Arabidopsis thaliana: one gene and its partner. The protein of the gene in region 2 interacts with the protein of the main gene of each other region in a pairwise test. Each region holds a gene or a part of one and is shown on either strand. Other genes may lie near its edges.

What was found. Proteins that work in one complex are often made in the same cells at the same time.
Region 1: the proteins of PAC (region 2) and AT2G21385 interact in a two-hybrid assay, tested with the Arabidopsis thaliana proteins (one large-scale study listed by BioGRID).

What each region holds. Positions count from the first base shown.
Region 1 is NC_003071.7:9,146,280-9,154,570, reverse strand, and holds AT2G21385 (uncharacterized protein), read right to left. Parts: upstream 4,995-8,291; 5' UTR 4,846-4,994; coding exon 4,774-4,845; intron 4,687-4,773; coding exon 4,595-4,686; exon of another isoform or gene 4,480-4,594; coding exon 4,374-4,479; intron 4,270-4,373; coding exon 4,171-4,269; intron 4,079-4,170; coding exon 4,013-4,078; intron 3,925-4,012; coding exon 3,808-3,924; intron 3,672-3,807; coding exon 3,597-3,671; intron 3,499-3,596; coding exon 3,396-3,498; intron 3,308-3,395; coding exon 3,260-3,307; coding exon of another isoform or gene 3,184-3,259; coding exon 3,062-3,183; intron 2,912-3,061; coding exon 2,819-2,911; 3' UTR 2,601-2,818; downstream 1-2,600. Other genes in the region: AT2G21390 (Coatomer, alpha subunit), read right to left, coding at 1-947, 1,036-1,530, 1,936-2,143; AT2G21380 (Kinesin motor family protein), read right to left, coding at 5,688-5,773, 5,859-6,000, 6,476-7,186, 7,371-7,508, 7,632-7,679, 7,780-7,830, 7,944-8,063, 8,251-8,291.
Region 2 is NC_003071.7:19,677,828-19,684,013, reverse strand, and holds PAC (pale cress protein (PAC)), read right to left. Parts: upstream 4,285-6,186; 5' UTR 4,145-4,284; coding exon 4,039-4,144; intron 3,961-4,038; coding exon 3,884-3,960; intron 3,814-3,883; coding exon 3,619-3,813; intron 3,544-3,618; coding exon 3,457-3,543; intron 3,381-3,456; coding exon 3,330-3,380; intron 3,168-3,329; coding exon 2,988-3,167; intron 2,909-2,987; coding exon 2,663-2,908; 3' UTR 2,468-2,662; downstream 1-2,467. Other genes in the region: AT2G48121 (ribonuclease III family protein), read right to left, coding at 1,685-1,918. UniProt on the Arabidopsis thaliana protein: Required for the differentiation of chloroplast from proplastids or etioplasts, probably by modulating some chloroplast-encoded genes expression and mRNA maturation. Involved in leaf-cells differentiation.

The DNA.
Region 1 (8,291 bases), about 11 Mb from region 2:
GTGGTTCAGAGTAGTGTAAATGAAGACACCATTGTCGTCCCATGCTCCACTTTTCACACGTATTGTCTCATGAAGCGTGCACTGTAGGACAAGTTTTTTGCTCGCAATAATGATAGTATGTTTGCTGAGCAAAGCAACACTCTCCATATCGTTAGACCAAACAACGTACCTAACAAACGGTGTCTGAAGCTCACCAAGAACAAGCCTTTGTTGAAGGTCAAATATAACCACTTTATCCTCAGATCTACAAAGCAAATTTCCAGTCCCAGCATAAAAGATAGCATCTGTGGGAATAGGTAAAGAACTCTTTTTAACCACCTCATTCTTTAGATTCTTCACTAACACCTGGCTGGTGCTTTTCTCCAGAACAGCAAACCGATTTCGAGCAATGAACACCGCAGAACCCCCTGTCCCCCTCTTTGCATCTTGTACAACATCACTCCTGCCAACGCTATCTTTCGGTATGATGTACAACTCGTAAGAACCACCATCCAGATCTGAGCAGATTAAGACTGCATTTTCTGTCGGACTGTAGGATAAAGTCCTCGGACTTTGATTCAAGCTTGGGGTACCAGGACGCCGTATAGGAATAACTTGGGAATCTTTTTGAGTTGAATATTCATAGTACCGCAGAAATCTATCTTTGGCATAGAATAACGAATCACCACTCAAAGCAAATGCAGGACGTTCTCTCTCAAGTTTGAAAACAATCATACCATTGTCATGTCCTGCTGCAAGTAGATTAATCTCAGGGTGAACTGCAAGAATCCAGAATCGGTCATGCTCACGACGAAAAGTTTGGATTCCAGTTCGCTTGGTAGCATCCCAGACACGGATGCTTTTATCCTCAGAGTTTGACACGATAATGTCCTGTTTTGCATGGAACATAACGGATGAAACGTTATTCATATGACCTCGCAATGTATCCACCTCCCAAGCTTTAGTTTCTGCAACAAAATTGAAACGCATCAGTACCTCAATGATTCATAAAATTAACTTTCTGTGAAGAAGAAGACAGATATCCATAAGAAATACCATTCATACGCCACAGCTTTACTTGGCGGTCATCGGCACCAGAGACAATGAGAGGAAGTGTGGGATGAAAAGAAGCCCAGTTGACTCCTCTATCATGACCTTCAAGGACGTACTTAACTATAGCGTCAACCCCTCCAAAAAGATCAGAATTCATCTGACTAAATCGCATGAGGTCATCAGCAGGAGATGCTGACTTCTTCTTAAGAGCACCAATGTCCCAAACACGGACAGTCTGATCCAGTGATGCTGATACAACAAGATCTTCCTTTGGATGGAAAGAAGCACACATAACATAATGATTGTGACCAGTCAACACGGAAATACAAGTCCTAGACTGCCAGTTCCAAATGCGGATAGTCTGATCGTCACTAGCACTCACAATCCATGGGTTTTCGTGGTGAAATTGGACAGTGCGGATATAATCAAGATGCCCGAGAAGAGTGAAAAGACACCTGTGAGTTTTGTAGTTCCAAACTTTAATCTTGTAATCATCCCCTGCAACATCCAATGTAATCAATGCCATCAACTACATATGAGTAATGTTCTGTAAGAGCATTATAACTGTAACGAAGAAGAATCCAAGCCATTTGCATTTCTAGTTGTTTGAGTACTTACTTATGTTCAAATAAAATACTATGCAACATGTACCATAAGATCTGGTTTCAATGCACTAGGTCCAAATCATCCAATATGTTATATAAGTAACTTAAACACAAATTATTTACTCCAGCTGGGACTATAAGAGCTTAAGTCATCCATTAAACAAAGGTTGGGAGACCAAGCTAGATCTAGGAACCGAGGAAGCTAACTAGCTAAGGGTTAATACTTAAGCAGATCAGGATTTATCGATCATGAAAGTGTAATAAACAGACTTATTGGCCTACCAATAACAAAGCATACCTCCAGAGACGAATAAAGGCTGTGAGTTGTGGAAATGAACACCACGAACAGGTCCTTCGTGCTCATCAAATCTGTCGATCAAAGTACCCATACGATAATCCCAGAGCTGGATCACACCACTGTGTAAACTCGCGAGAATCCATGGTCGTTTAGGGTGGAAACTCAGACCCTTAACTCGGTTACTCTTGGTCTCGAACTTGGTCAGCATATTCACAGATTACGAAACAGAAACAACTCTACAAAAACCAGATCAACAGAGAATGAAAATCATGGAGAAAGATCAGTTCAAAGAAATCGAAAAACCCGCAAAAGGAAGAAAAAAAACGTAATCCACGTGAAATTGAAAACAGATCTAACGATAAGAAGCAGCAAGATCCGAGAAATCGAGATTCGTACAATGAAGAAGGAGAAGAAATAGAGATTCACCTCAGATCAGATCAGTTCACAAGGGGAAGCGATCAAGCTCAGCTTCACGGTGACGATCAGTAGCATTACCAGAGAAGCGTGGATGCGAGAGCAAGAGAAACACAAGGATCGTCTAGAAGAAGAAGAAGAAGAAGAAGACGGTGAGATTCAGTTTCGTCGTATAGATCTGAATCCCTCCGCTCAGTTATCTCTGTCTCCAATTTGCGTCTCGCTAATTTAATTGGCATGAATTACTCATTTTTACTTTTATTTTATATGGAAGCATCAACTTTACATTTTTTATTCCAAGATAATTAAAATCTGTAAAATTTTGACTACAGAGCTTCATATTTTTAAATCAGATAACACTTCAAATGCTCAATCAAAAAATTATTACATGAGAGAAAACAATATATTAATTGGGGTTATTGAACTGATATTACACAAAAATGTATAGATAAATACATGATTTACGACATTAACCCTGGAGTAATTTCATAATTTCATTAGCCCTGGACTCGATTCCTTTGAGATACTCGGTCAAAATTCGCTGCTGGTATGAACCCCCTTCCTGGTATGATCAGAATAGTTGTGGTTAGAATGATGAATTTTAGAAAACAATATCTGGTTAAAACCCCAACCCAAAACCCGGTTAGCCTCGCATTCACTCCTGAAGAGAATAATAACAATGCAAGCAAATGTGTCATGGTATGTTACTTACAGTTCGAATCAGTGTGCGCTCGATTCGTTTCTTGATAACAGCAGATAGCTCATCAGGTGTGATATCTCCTTTTCCGATTGTTAACCCGTCTACGAAAAGCTTGTTCCATTGTTCCTCAGGAGCTGAAACACACATAATAAACCGATGTGAAGTCTGGCTGGGGTCTATAGTACATGGAAAAGTGGTTGCAGAACAGACCTTTGATCAGAGTTTCAAGAAAATGCTCGGCTTTTACAACTTCGTTCCCTGTGACAATAGCTATAGTGGATGAGATTATGTTCGTAGAAAATGGTTTAGAGTGACTTGGCATAGTTTTCAAAATTGGGCAAATCACCTTTCTTTGCGTAGCTACGCTTGGAGAGGATAGTAGCAGAATAGAGTTGAAGAACTTTTTGCAGCATAGCCAATAACCCTGGTTTGTCTTTATCTTCTTTTGCCTGAAAACAATCGTCAGCCTCAAACATTCAAAAGAATACATCTATTCACTGTAAAGGAAAGACCTCAGAAGTGAAACAAAACAAATTGTAGCACTTACCTGCCGGAGCTGAGCATTAACTTCTGAAAGAAATCCTTCATCTAATTGCCCTTCTTTTTCCCGTTGTATAATTTCCTGTTAATACACTGATCTCAGTAACCATGACGATATCAAATCACAGAATCTAAGACCAGATAACCCTTCTGAATATAGGTTGTATATATAAAAAATGTGTAGATGTAGTAGAAAGTGAAGAACAACTAGTATAAACCTTTTTCATTAGATTGATGGCTTCAGGATCTCTTGGCGGCCATGAAATCTCTTCCACTCCATCTATAGCAGGTCTTAAAATCCCTTTCAGAATATCAGTAGACGTCTCTATCTTTTCCTAAAGGGATATAATGAACTCTCAGTTATCCCTGTTTAAGTAAACGCTGAAGAAGAAGAGACAATAAAACCACAGAAGAAAGAGAAACCCGAGTCTTATTCACAACACAGTCAACTATAGTCATCACAGTTGTAGCTAACTCCTCATAGTCCTTCTGTAAGAAACAAACCGTATTCAAAGCATTAGCGGAAACAAAAGAGATCAAAAGTCTGCTCTATCATTGACATAAACAATATAAACTCATGCCTTGTCATCTTCTGATTTACAAGTATCCGACCTAGCTGCTAGTCTTATCCAAAAAACCTCATCAAAAGCAAGGATATTTTCAACAACAATCTTCTCAACCTGTTCAATGAAAATGGCAACAACAACAAAACAAAACTCAATTTACTCAAGATAATAGAGCAAAAACACAACATTTATACGATGCATATGACATGTTTCCTTACTTGTCTAGGGTTTGCATCTCTAAGAGCATCAATCATCCGATCGATTTCGACAGTCTTCTTAAAGGCATCTTCTGGATCTCCCTTGACTGCACAGATCAAAGTTCTCCTGTTTTATTAGACCCAAAAGATTGCAATCAATTATCTCATATCCAACTGCATTACACAGAATCATCGCTTCAAGGGCCAAATCCTACTGAAATCGTTAACTAGAACATAATCACCTTCGGTTCAAATGGAGTCCAGAGAACAGAGAAAGCTTCCATAGACTCGAAGATACTAAAACCCTAGAACCCAATCTCCAAAGCGACCCACTCTACTTGAAAAAAACGGAGGAATGAAGTCATAACAAGAAGAAGGTAGTTCTCGCTAATTATGAAGAAATAAGAACAGAGAGATTCACCTGCTCGCGTTGTTGATGATGATGATGAGAATTGCAAGAGAATAAGCATTGAACAGGGGATATTGCCGCCATTAAAGTGAAGGCACCGCACCGAGAAGCTACAAGCTCCGAATTTCTGAGGACCGTTCAAACAAACTCTCGGTAACCAAATCCTCGTTGGCGAAAACCGAAAAAAAAACAATATATGGTCGTATCATTTAGGCTCACTAGATCCATTGGGCCGTAACAACCACTCTGATCCAAAAATATTTACATGTGTTATTGGTGTATTAAATTCGGTATGTATTAAATTTCTTAAAAAAAAATAAGAATTTAGCATAGATATAACTAAGTAAAAATTATTATTAAAATTAAAAATTACAATATAAGTTAGAAGAGATCAAAGGTTTGTGTGGTTTGCAGTAATTCATCGATGATAATTGGTGTAGTTTGGTGTTCTTGTGTATCACTGTTGCATTCGTACACTATTCTCCATTGTACAACTGTATGTTTTTTCTAAAAAACTGTACACAAATTTCATGAATTAGCAAAATAATTTTTAATTACTTACTTCAAATTTTGAACTTACTATGAAACGGCTATGATATGTTTCCTATTTTTCTGTTAGCATGTTATGTTTCCTCTTTCTTTACCACATTTTGAACAGAAAGATATAACAAAGACATTACATACAAGAAAACAAAAAACAACTTGTAATAAAAGAATTCGAGCCTGCCGTTCTGGAAAATGTTAGCAAACAAACAGACTTCCATATAGTTCTTTATACCTGCAAAATCACATACAATTGTCTTTCAATAAAAAGATTGCCTAATGTTTTTGAACTAAAGAATTTGGATTTTAAAGATTTTGTGAAGGTGGGAAATATTGGAATTACCTTATACTGTGTGTAGGAGAGTGACTATACTTGCCGCAGGTCAAGACGGGAAGGCGAACAGGCGATCAGAGATCTTGGTTCGGCAGATTGGGCACTCAGAGCAGGCAAGTGAACAAGATTTACAGACTGCATAAAAGGAGAGATTGTGATCGTTTTAGGATTACTTAGTACTTAATGAAGGATCCTCAGGTAATGTGAGAGTGAGACTTACGGCAGAAATGACGGCAAGGGAGGAGAATTGTGGCGGTCGGCGACTCAAAACAGACTTTACATATATGTGAGTTTGCATCAGCATTAGCTGCTGCAGCCGCCTGAGATTTCATCTCTTTCTCTTTCATCTCTTGCATTCTTGCCTGTTATGTATATAAAGCATCAAATGCAGAACAAGAAAACAAGTAGTTTTTTTATTTATTAAAGCTCATATTGTTTGAACGTGTGAGATGATGATTCATGATTTTCATTACCCGTACAAGATAGAAGCTCACACATGGGTACACAAGTTCCATGTCCCCGAAAAACCAGATAAATATTCAATACCCACAAGTAGCTTGACTTAATTATCCGTAACAGTCACTTGTATTATAGATAGGAGGACATGATATTAGAATATATTGGATCAGGTAAAGCTATTTACATATTTTGAACCATATATTCTGGGTGTTTTGAAGGTTTTAATATATGTTGCCTGATCCGAAGGTCATGGCATAAAGGATATGGAGCGAACAGGTAATGGATATCTAGATTTGCCTACCGCTAGACTGTGGAGTAGGCTTATAGAAAACTAAGAATGCTGAAAGAAAATAGAAAGCAAATTTGTAAAAGGTTTACCTTAAGACGAGCAACAAGAGGTTCCTCCTTTGGTGTCTCTTCAGCCTTGGCAACTATTACTTCTTCATGTCCATTCACGAGTTGCCTCTCTTTCAAGATTGCATTTTGTTCATTCTTATTATCTAACTCTGTCACTTCATCTTCCTTTGCAGGCTCTGCTTCGTCACTCTTTTGTATTGACAAGGCGCCACTATTGGCTTTCTTCAACTTGGCAACAAGCACCCACATGTTGGCTAAATCGTTTTCAAGGGCCTCTTCTCTTCTCTTTGCTTCTTCAGCTTTTTTCCTAAACTCTTCTTCTATGTATTCTTTCTCAGCTAGTGCAGCCTCAAGTACTGCTTCTCGCTGTTTCCTTGCCTGCAATTCCATTGTGAGATTTTCTTGGTTGAGGTTCCATGAGTCTGAGATCCTTGCCTTTCTCCCTGGCCTTGTTCCATTACGGTTCGCTGCGCTGTTCATGGAGTTGTTGTTACGCTTCTGAGCTGCCGCTGCCAAGTCTCTTGCAGCTACTAATTCTTTTTCTAGCTTTGCGTTTTGAAGCGAGAGCTTTGTAACTTCATCAGCTAGATTCTTCAGCTCAATAGCAGCTGCAGAGGCCAATTCTTTTGCATATGAAGCTTCTTCAGCTAATTTTTGATTTTGCACTCGTAATCCACTCTTCTCCTCCACACTCTGCACATGCTCTAGCTTCAACTTTTCGTTCTCAATCTCCTGAAGTATGAAAACATCAAACGCTCATGTAAATACAATGAGAGGTCCATTAAACATATATATCATTATATGTGTTTTCACAATCTCCTCGCAACCAGTGAAGATATTTATCAGGATTCAGGCATACTTGTGAGAATGCATGGTCGCAAATTTGACAAAATTGGTTGAGATTTTGAGAAATTACCTGAGACTGTACTTTCTTTTTCAGCTCATCTACATACTCTTCAGTCACAACATCACAACAAGACAGTGTGGCCTTCTGACTCGATAATCGTTGCTCTAGAAGATGCACCTTTTCGTGCAATTCATTGTTCTCGGTACACTGCAGTTGTTAGAGCATGTGTATATAAGTAAGGATGACTGAGATAATAGCCACAAGAAAATGCTGTATATGAAAAATAAAAAAGAATAAAAGAATAAAAGGAGTCCGTGACTTAGAAGTGACCTTTGTCTGTAGTTGTTCTTGGAGAATACGATTATCTGCTGATATAATCTGATCCATAGGTAGAACACATTTAAATATATATATTGACTTGAGAAATCTTCCATATTCGCTATAGAAGAAGACATTTCATTCTAGAGAGACATTTTACCTCCAGCTCAAAGCTCTTCTCATTGCATTGTGTCATCAATCTCATAACTTTCTGAAAACAACAAAAATAATTGTAATACCTTTAGCTGATCCACACTGTGTCCACAACTGAATGACCTTAAGAGGGTAAAGGATCATAAATATAAGATGTATAGATTAGGTTACCTCTTGCATCTCAATCGATGATGCATTAGCAATTGAAGCTTCACCACTCTCAGTTATTCTCTGTTCCAAGGATTTCATTTGTCTTTGCTTTTCTTGAATATCATTTTCTAGATTCTGGATCTGCATGCCAGCATATAATAAGTTCCGTAGTTATGCTTATAGGTAAATAAATGGCTTAAAGTGGAATGCTAATAAAGTTCAGCATCTGGAGATGCATTTTCTGATTTTCAGGGTTAAAACTTGAAATTAGGGAGACCACAGTCATACTGGTATATAATTCTCTAGATAGATAAAGAAGAATCTTTACTTGGGTTTTCGAGTTTTCAGGATCATTCATGGACTGATCCA
Region 2 (6,186 bases):
AATTACATGTGATTTCTGTTTGGTTTACATAGTTTTGAAATGAAAATTGATTTTGGTTCGGTTTGCATTAGAATTAATACGGTTTTGAGAAAAAAAAAAAAAAAAAGTTCACTCGAGGCTGTTTTAGAAACAAAGCGAGTAAATGTAAAATAGGCATGATTTTGTGGGTTTACCCCTACAGAAATCGACCACACGCGCTCAACGCGAGGTTCGTGCGAGTGGGCGTGGTCTGGAGCGCGTGACGCGAGATTGGTGCGAGTGGGCGTTGTCTAGTGCACTCTGATTGGCTAAAAAAATGAAAATAGTAGTGATGCTCCTCCTCTATTATTTTGTTTTTCGTCATTCTTCAGTTATGAAAGTTGTGTGGTTTTAAGATGCAATTGAGTTTATTCTGAGGTTTTTGGTTATTTTGAAATCATTGATTAATGTCACCAAAAAAAAATAGAAACTAGATTTTGAGATACTAAAATTTTCATTTTCATTTTGTTCTGCAACCATTGAAAACTAGATTCAGCTGAGCCCCTGAAGAAATCAAAGTGAGTTGAATATATTTCTAAAAATGTGAAAATTGGTAAAAGTTTGTCCTCATTTTGTTAGTTAATGTTTTCTTGACTTTAGGAGATGAACTTTCAACTGCAAAGATCCCATCACACATTAATCTCACTCTCTTCTGCACATTGCATGGTGTGGTGTAGCTATGGTTCCCACACAATTTGTCATATTCATTTACAACAAAGTTCATGAATCATGTTTGAAGTGAATCCTTTTTTTTCAAATTTAGTCATCTCTCGAGGAACTTTAAAGTTAAAAGAATAAGATAAAGCTTCTTGGAAATCTCAGCATTGCACTACCTTTGCTTGCAAATCTAGAATCTGGATTTTAAGATACTTACTCCAACACATATTATTATTACAGGCCGGTGCTTTTGTTCATGTTTGCACCAATGGGACTGTTTTGGTGACACATGGAGGTGTTGAAATGGGTCAAGGATTTGCATAAAAAGGTTGTGTCATTCCCCTTAGTCAGTTTTTGTGTCAGAATCAAGCACATACAAGGTACATCTAACTCGGTTACATGCACTCAGTGGACTTTTTGGCCAAGACAAAACTGATATTGTTCTCTCTTATCTTTTGTGGTCTCTTAATAGGTTCCAAATGCCTCACACACTGTTATTGCTCTCTTGTCGTTTTGATTGCCTCTTAATAGGTTCCTAACGCGTCACCTACTGCTGCTTCTGCGAGCTCTGATATGTATGGTGCTGCAGTTTTAGACGCTGTTGAGCAGATTATAGCTAAATTGGAGCCTGTTGCATCTAAACACAATTTCAACTCCATTCGCTGAGGGTAGCTTTAGAAGAGCTCAAGTGGGGAGATGCAGCTCATACATGGATTTAACCAGGAGCTTTACTCACTTGCAGACCTGGAAACTACAAAATACCTTAAGAAGAAACTTTACTCACAACATTCAGTTTCTCTTCTCAAGGTATGCAACCATAAGAAGAAGCTCTTTGAATTGGTAGCAACAAATTTGAAACTGATGAACCTAAGATTATACTGATGAAACTCATTTTGCTAGTTTAAAGTTTTCAACTTTTCACCAAAGGTAATGAAGTATTTAACTACATAAATCAAACCCAGTAGTATACTAAAAGACATTAGACAAATGAGAGAGACAGCTTCGATTTTCAGACAGCTTTAGGTTGGATTTGTTCGAAGTCGAAAACCTCAAACATGAGCCGCCGAACATCGGGTTTCCCGTAGATGGTGTAGGCGAGGCCGTGAATGGCTTGTTGAACAGCGGTTGTCGCCGGATTCCTAAGTCTCCGGTTATGTTCATACCGATCATGAACCTCCTCTGAGTATATTATAAAGTTGTGAAGACGTTTTTCTCTAAGATACCGGCCGCAGAATTTGTTCATTAATAGACATCTATGCTTCTCTTGCAACCACTTCCCTGGTGCGTCCAAAACGTTCAGCCATTGCTATGTCCTGCATGATCCCAAGACGAAAAATCGGGTTAAAAAAAAGAAAGAAAGAAAAGAACCGTTCTTTTGATCTTTTAAGATGAGAGATCGTTATCCTCACCTGTATCTTCTGTCCTACATATTCCAGCCGCTCAAAACAAAACCGCGGGTGTTCAAACTTATGCTTTGAAGGATGCAAGAAGCAGAGCTGTCACTTAAAATCTCATAGTATTGAGGCCCATTAGTGGCTCAACATGGCCCATTTATACGGGTTTTTTTGATCTGAGATCCAGAAATCAGTCGTTTTACTTGTATCATCGGAAAATGTTTTTTTAACCTCTACCTTCTTCGGTCAAGCTTCTCACGTCCATATCAGCTCCCAGACCGAAATTTATCAATGTCCCCTCCCTCCACCGTCTGGACACAGAGCGGTGGTTGAGGAGCTGTTAGGAGACTGGCGGAGTGTATCGTGGAACCGGAAAAGTAAAGGCCATACTATACTTTGAAAGAGGAAGAGATGATTGTGGTGGAGACTATGAGCAGAGAGATAGTCAGCAACATTTGGATTTGGAATTTTTAGCCAAAACCTATTATTTAGACTCCATTCATTTCTAAACAAAAACGCCTGAATCAATCTAACTCTAGGGTCTATCTTAAAAAAATTATTATGGCGTATAGATTGATATTCTAGTTAACTGCCTACCACTTCAAGTTGAGGGCTAAATCAAGAATGGCTTCAATTTGGCGGATGGTTCGTTGCTTCTCCTGTTGCTTAAACTTAAGTGCTATAGCTTCAGGATCAAGCCCTTCTCCTTTGCTACCAGTTGTAGCGTCTTCCTCTATCCTCACTTCCTGTAGCAGTGCATCCACTTCTCTTACAAAGTCTACTCTCAGAAGGGTGTTGTCTGTCTCAGTCTCAATGGGCGGTCGCAACTGTCCTTGATGCTACAAACACAGCATTGATTCTTGCTGTTGAGAGGTTTTTATCAATAAAAAAAAACAAAAAAGAGAAAAAGGGACGCACCATATCAATGTCGAATCCCGGTGGCATTAGAATGCTGAAGGGGTCTTCTCGGGGGAAGGTCTCAGCCATTCGTTTTCTGCAGTCCTTGAGCCAAGCATCGTCTTCAAAGCCATCATGCATATTTAGAAGATCATTCAGCAGTTTCATTGCAGGACTTGCTTGCCGTTTTAAGATCTCTGTCTGGATAGAGAAACACCCGATATAAGGATTCACTTTCACCTAAAGCTGACTAATACGAGTTGATAATCTTCCTTGACAAATGAGTAAGTTTGAAGATGGTGATATAAAGCATCAGCAGCTCAAGATCTTATAGCATAGAAAAGAATGAAGAGAAACAATTACCTCGACTCTTCTATACAAAAGATCAAGACTTCTGATGGCGTCCTTCTCATCCTGAAAGTAAGCAACACAGGATCTAAGGGAACATTTCATCATGAAAACGCATAACTCACAAGGAAAAAAATGTTACATCGCGCCTAGCAAGGTCAAGCCGGTTCCATATGATCATGAGGACAAGCTCGTCAAGTTCTCCTTTCTCGGCTGCTTCTTCAATTCTCTACAGAAATTGTCTTATACATAATAATAATAATTGCCTGCTTGTATAAGGAAGGAAGGGGACTTTGATTTTTACCTCTTCGACTTCCTCGGCAGCTCTGATGAAGCTGGAGACGAGCTTTCTGGCTTTCCTTAAGTCTTGCTCGGGAAATTCCTTCAACCTCGTGCCAATTTCACGGTATTCTTCAATCTTTCTCTCCTCTTCTTCTTCTTCCTCCCGCTGCATCCGCCGCAGTTCTTTGGTCTTCTCTCTCTGTCGAGCTTGCCATTCCTGGTATCAAAAAACCAACCGACTTAGAAAAAATCAGACTGAGAGACAAAAAAAGGATGAGGAGACGAACATCATCGTAATACTCCGGTGGCATTCCTTCTAGAAGCACTTCATCATTGTTTCCCGAGCATCTTCTTCGGAATTTAGCTGAGACATCGGCAGAGGATCATTTTAGATGAAACAAACTAATTTTGGATTTCACAAATTAAACCCCGCGAAACTGACCTGTAGAAATCGACAACTCTGTAGTCAGCTTCTTCGTAGCAGAAATAACCCGAGGGCTGCTGAATAGAGGGGATGCGCACGTCAGAACCAGCGACGTCGCCGCCATAGTCGAGCTTCGCAGTGAGTGGGAGTGATTTTGTTGCAGCCCCGAATCCCTTAGGCTATCTATATCTATTCGGATTTAGTCTCCCTAGTTTCGGATTTCACAAATTAAACCCCGTGGTGTAGCTTAGTACTAGTAGCTCAATTGAAAAATGTCTCAAAGAAATCTGAAAAATCTTGGCTTCATTTCCTTTCATAATCTAATGTTGTTTCCCCAGTCAGTGTCTGTGACACATAGCGAATCATGTTGCTCTAAATAATAAATATAATATACAATATAGACAAACAAAAAAAAAAAAGAGAGAGCTAATCTCAGGAACAAAAGTGATCATGATCACAGTTTAGATTAGTCGAGAAAAGAAAGTTGAAAGACGTCAAGCTAATGTTGATGGCAAGTCTCCACAATGAGTTCTGTAGCTGCACCCATTGTCCCAAGGCCGCCGGCACAAAGCAGAGCCAGAGCCAAGTCTTGCTCGTTCCACTGCCTCAGACTTTTGCTTAGTCTCTTTATTACTTCAACATCCACCTCTAGCACCCAAGCCGGCGTGCATTGCACCATCAGGCTCACAAAGCCTGTCACGTAAGCTTGCCATGTCGCCCAATCACAGCCCAGTGATATCTTCCCTTCCAAGGCACTCACCATAAACTCCAAATGCAGCCACAGAACCCTTGGCCGACGTTTTGATGCAGGATATGAGGAGTCCACTCCCCAGGCAAATGCACTGCTCAGGATTGCAAAGTAGGCTAAAGCATAGCCTCTTAGCATCGGAACCATACCTCCCAACTCATCTTCTTCTCCGTGAACCGAGATGAACCAAGACGGTAATGTCTCCTTGATCAGTGCCTGAACCAGGTTTAGGCCACCGGAGATCCACACCAGAGAGGCTCCCAGGGAAGCTGCCAGCTTGACACGTCTCATTGCTAAAGAAAGTGAAACCTGCCCAATCCCGTACCTCGACCCATCTTTCGTTTTCTTCAATTTCTCTGCTTGCCCTGCTGGTAGCTCCCTCGTGGCAATGCTCTTCACAGAGAACATCAGAAGAGACAGGATTTCTTCTGTCAGGAACATGACATCTCTGATCGATCTGTGCACTTTTATGTACAAGATTCCTGGGGCAGCTGTGGAAATTCCTCCAGAGTAACGGGACCCAAAGCCATGGCCAAGGAGTGCACCCACTCCCCCATAGCTGCAGAGTTGGGAAGTAGGTGTTAGACCAAGGGTGCAAGTGAAGCAGCTTCTGAGGAGCTGAATAACAGCATCTCTGTTGTGGTGGAACACAGTTCTGGAGGCTGAAAAGATAAGAAAGTCGCTCCAGCGCTTCACTTTCTGGGTCCACAGCGATGTCACAATAGGCATGCAGGGCCAGGGGCAAGCAGCAGCAAGGGAGTCTAAGGCCGGTCCTACAAGTACAAGGAAGCGCTCTGTTGCTTTGTCAAGCTTGTAGGTTATAGTAAGGCTCACTAGTGCAGCGAGAGGCAAGGGAAGTGTAGCCGCAGAGATTCCATCTGCAAAGACAGACGTGTGTAAACTATGAGAGTTTTTTCAGCATAATCATTGTATTCGTTTCTTCCAGCATGTTCTTTTCACACTTTCTCCGCAGTTTCAGTTTTATAGATATCACAATTGTTTACAAATCTAAGCAAGACCCTCCAGGGACATGTTATCCGGGACTGCCATGACTGCATCTAAGGTTCTAATCTTTCATGACAAAACCCCTGGACACCTGAGAATATCCATTATCCTTAGAGAAGAAAAGCATTACCTGCTGGAAGCCTTGGTACGTCAACGCCAGTAGCTGCTAAGATCTTCTCTATCTGTTGCTCAACGCTTGCTAAATTTGCAGCAGGACTAGGCCAGTCAGTTCCGTTCATGGAAACGGGCTTCCACAGACCTCGTGTTACTTCCGAAGAAAAGTAGCTAACCATGGTTCCAAGTGTTGCCGGCAGAAAATCAGCCAAGATTTTAAGACCTGAAACAAATCAAGGGACAGATTAAGATCTCGCCCACCCAACTATTAGCTACCTTCTGAAGTAGCGTTTATGATG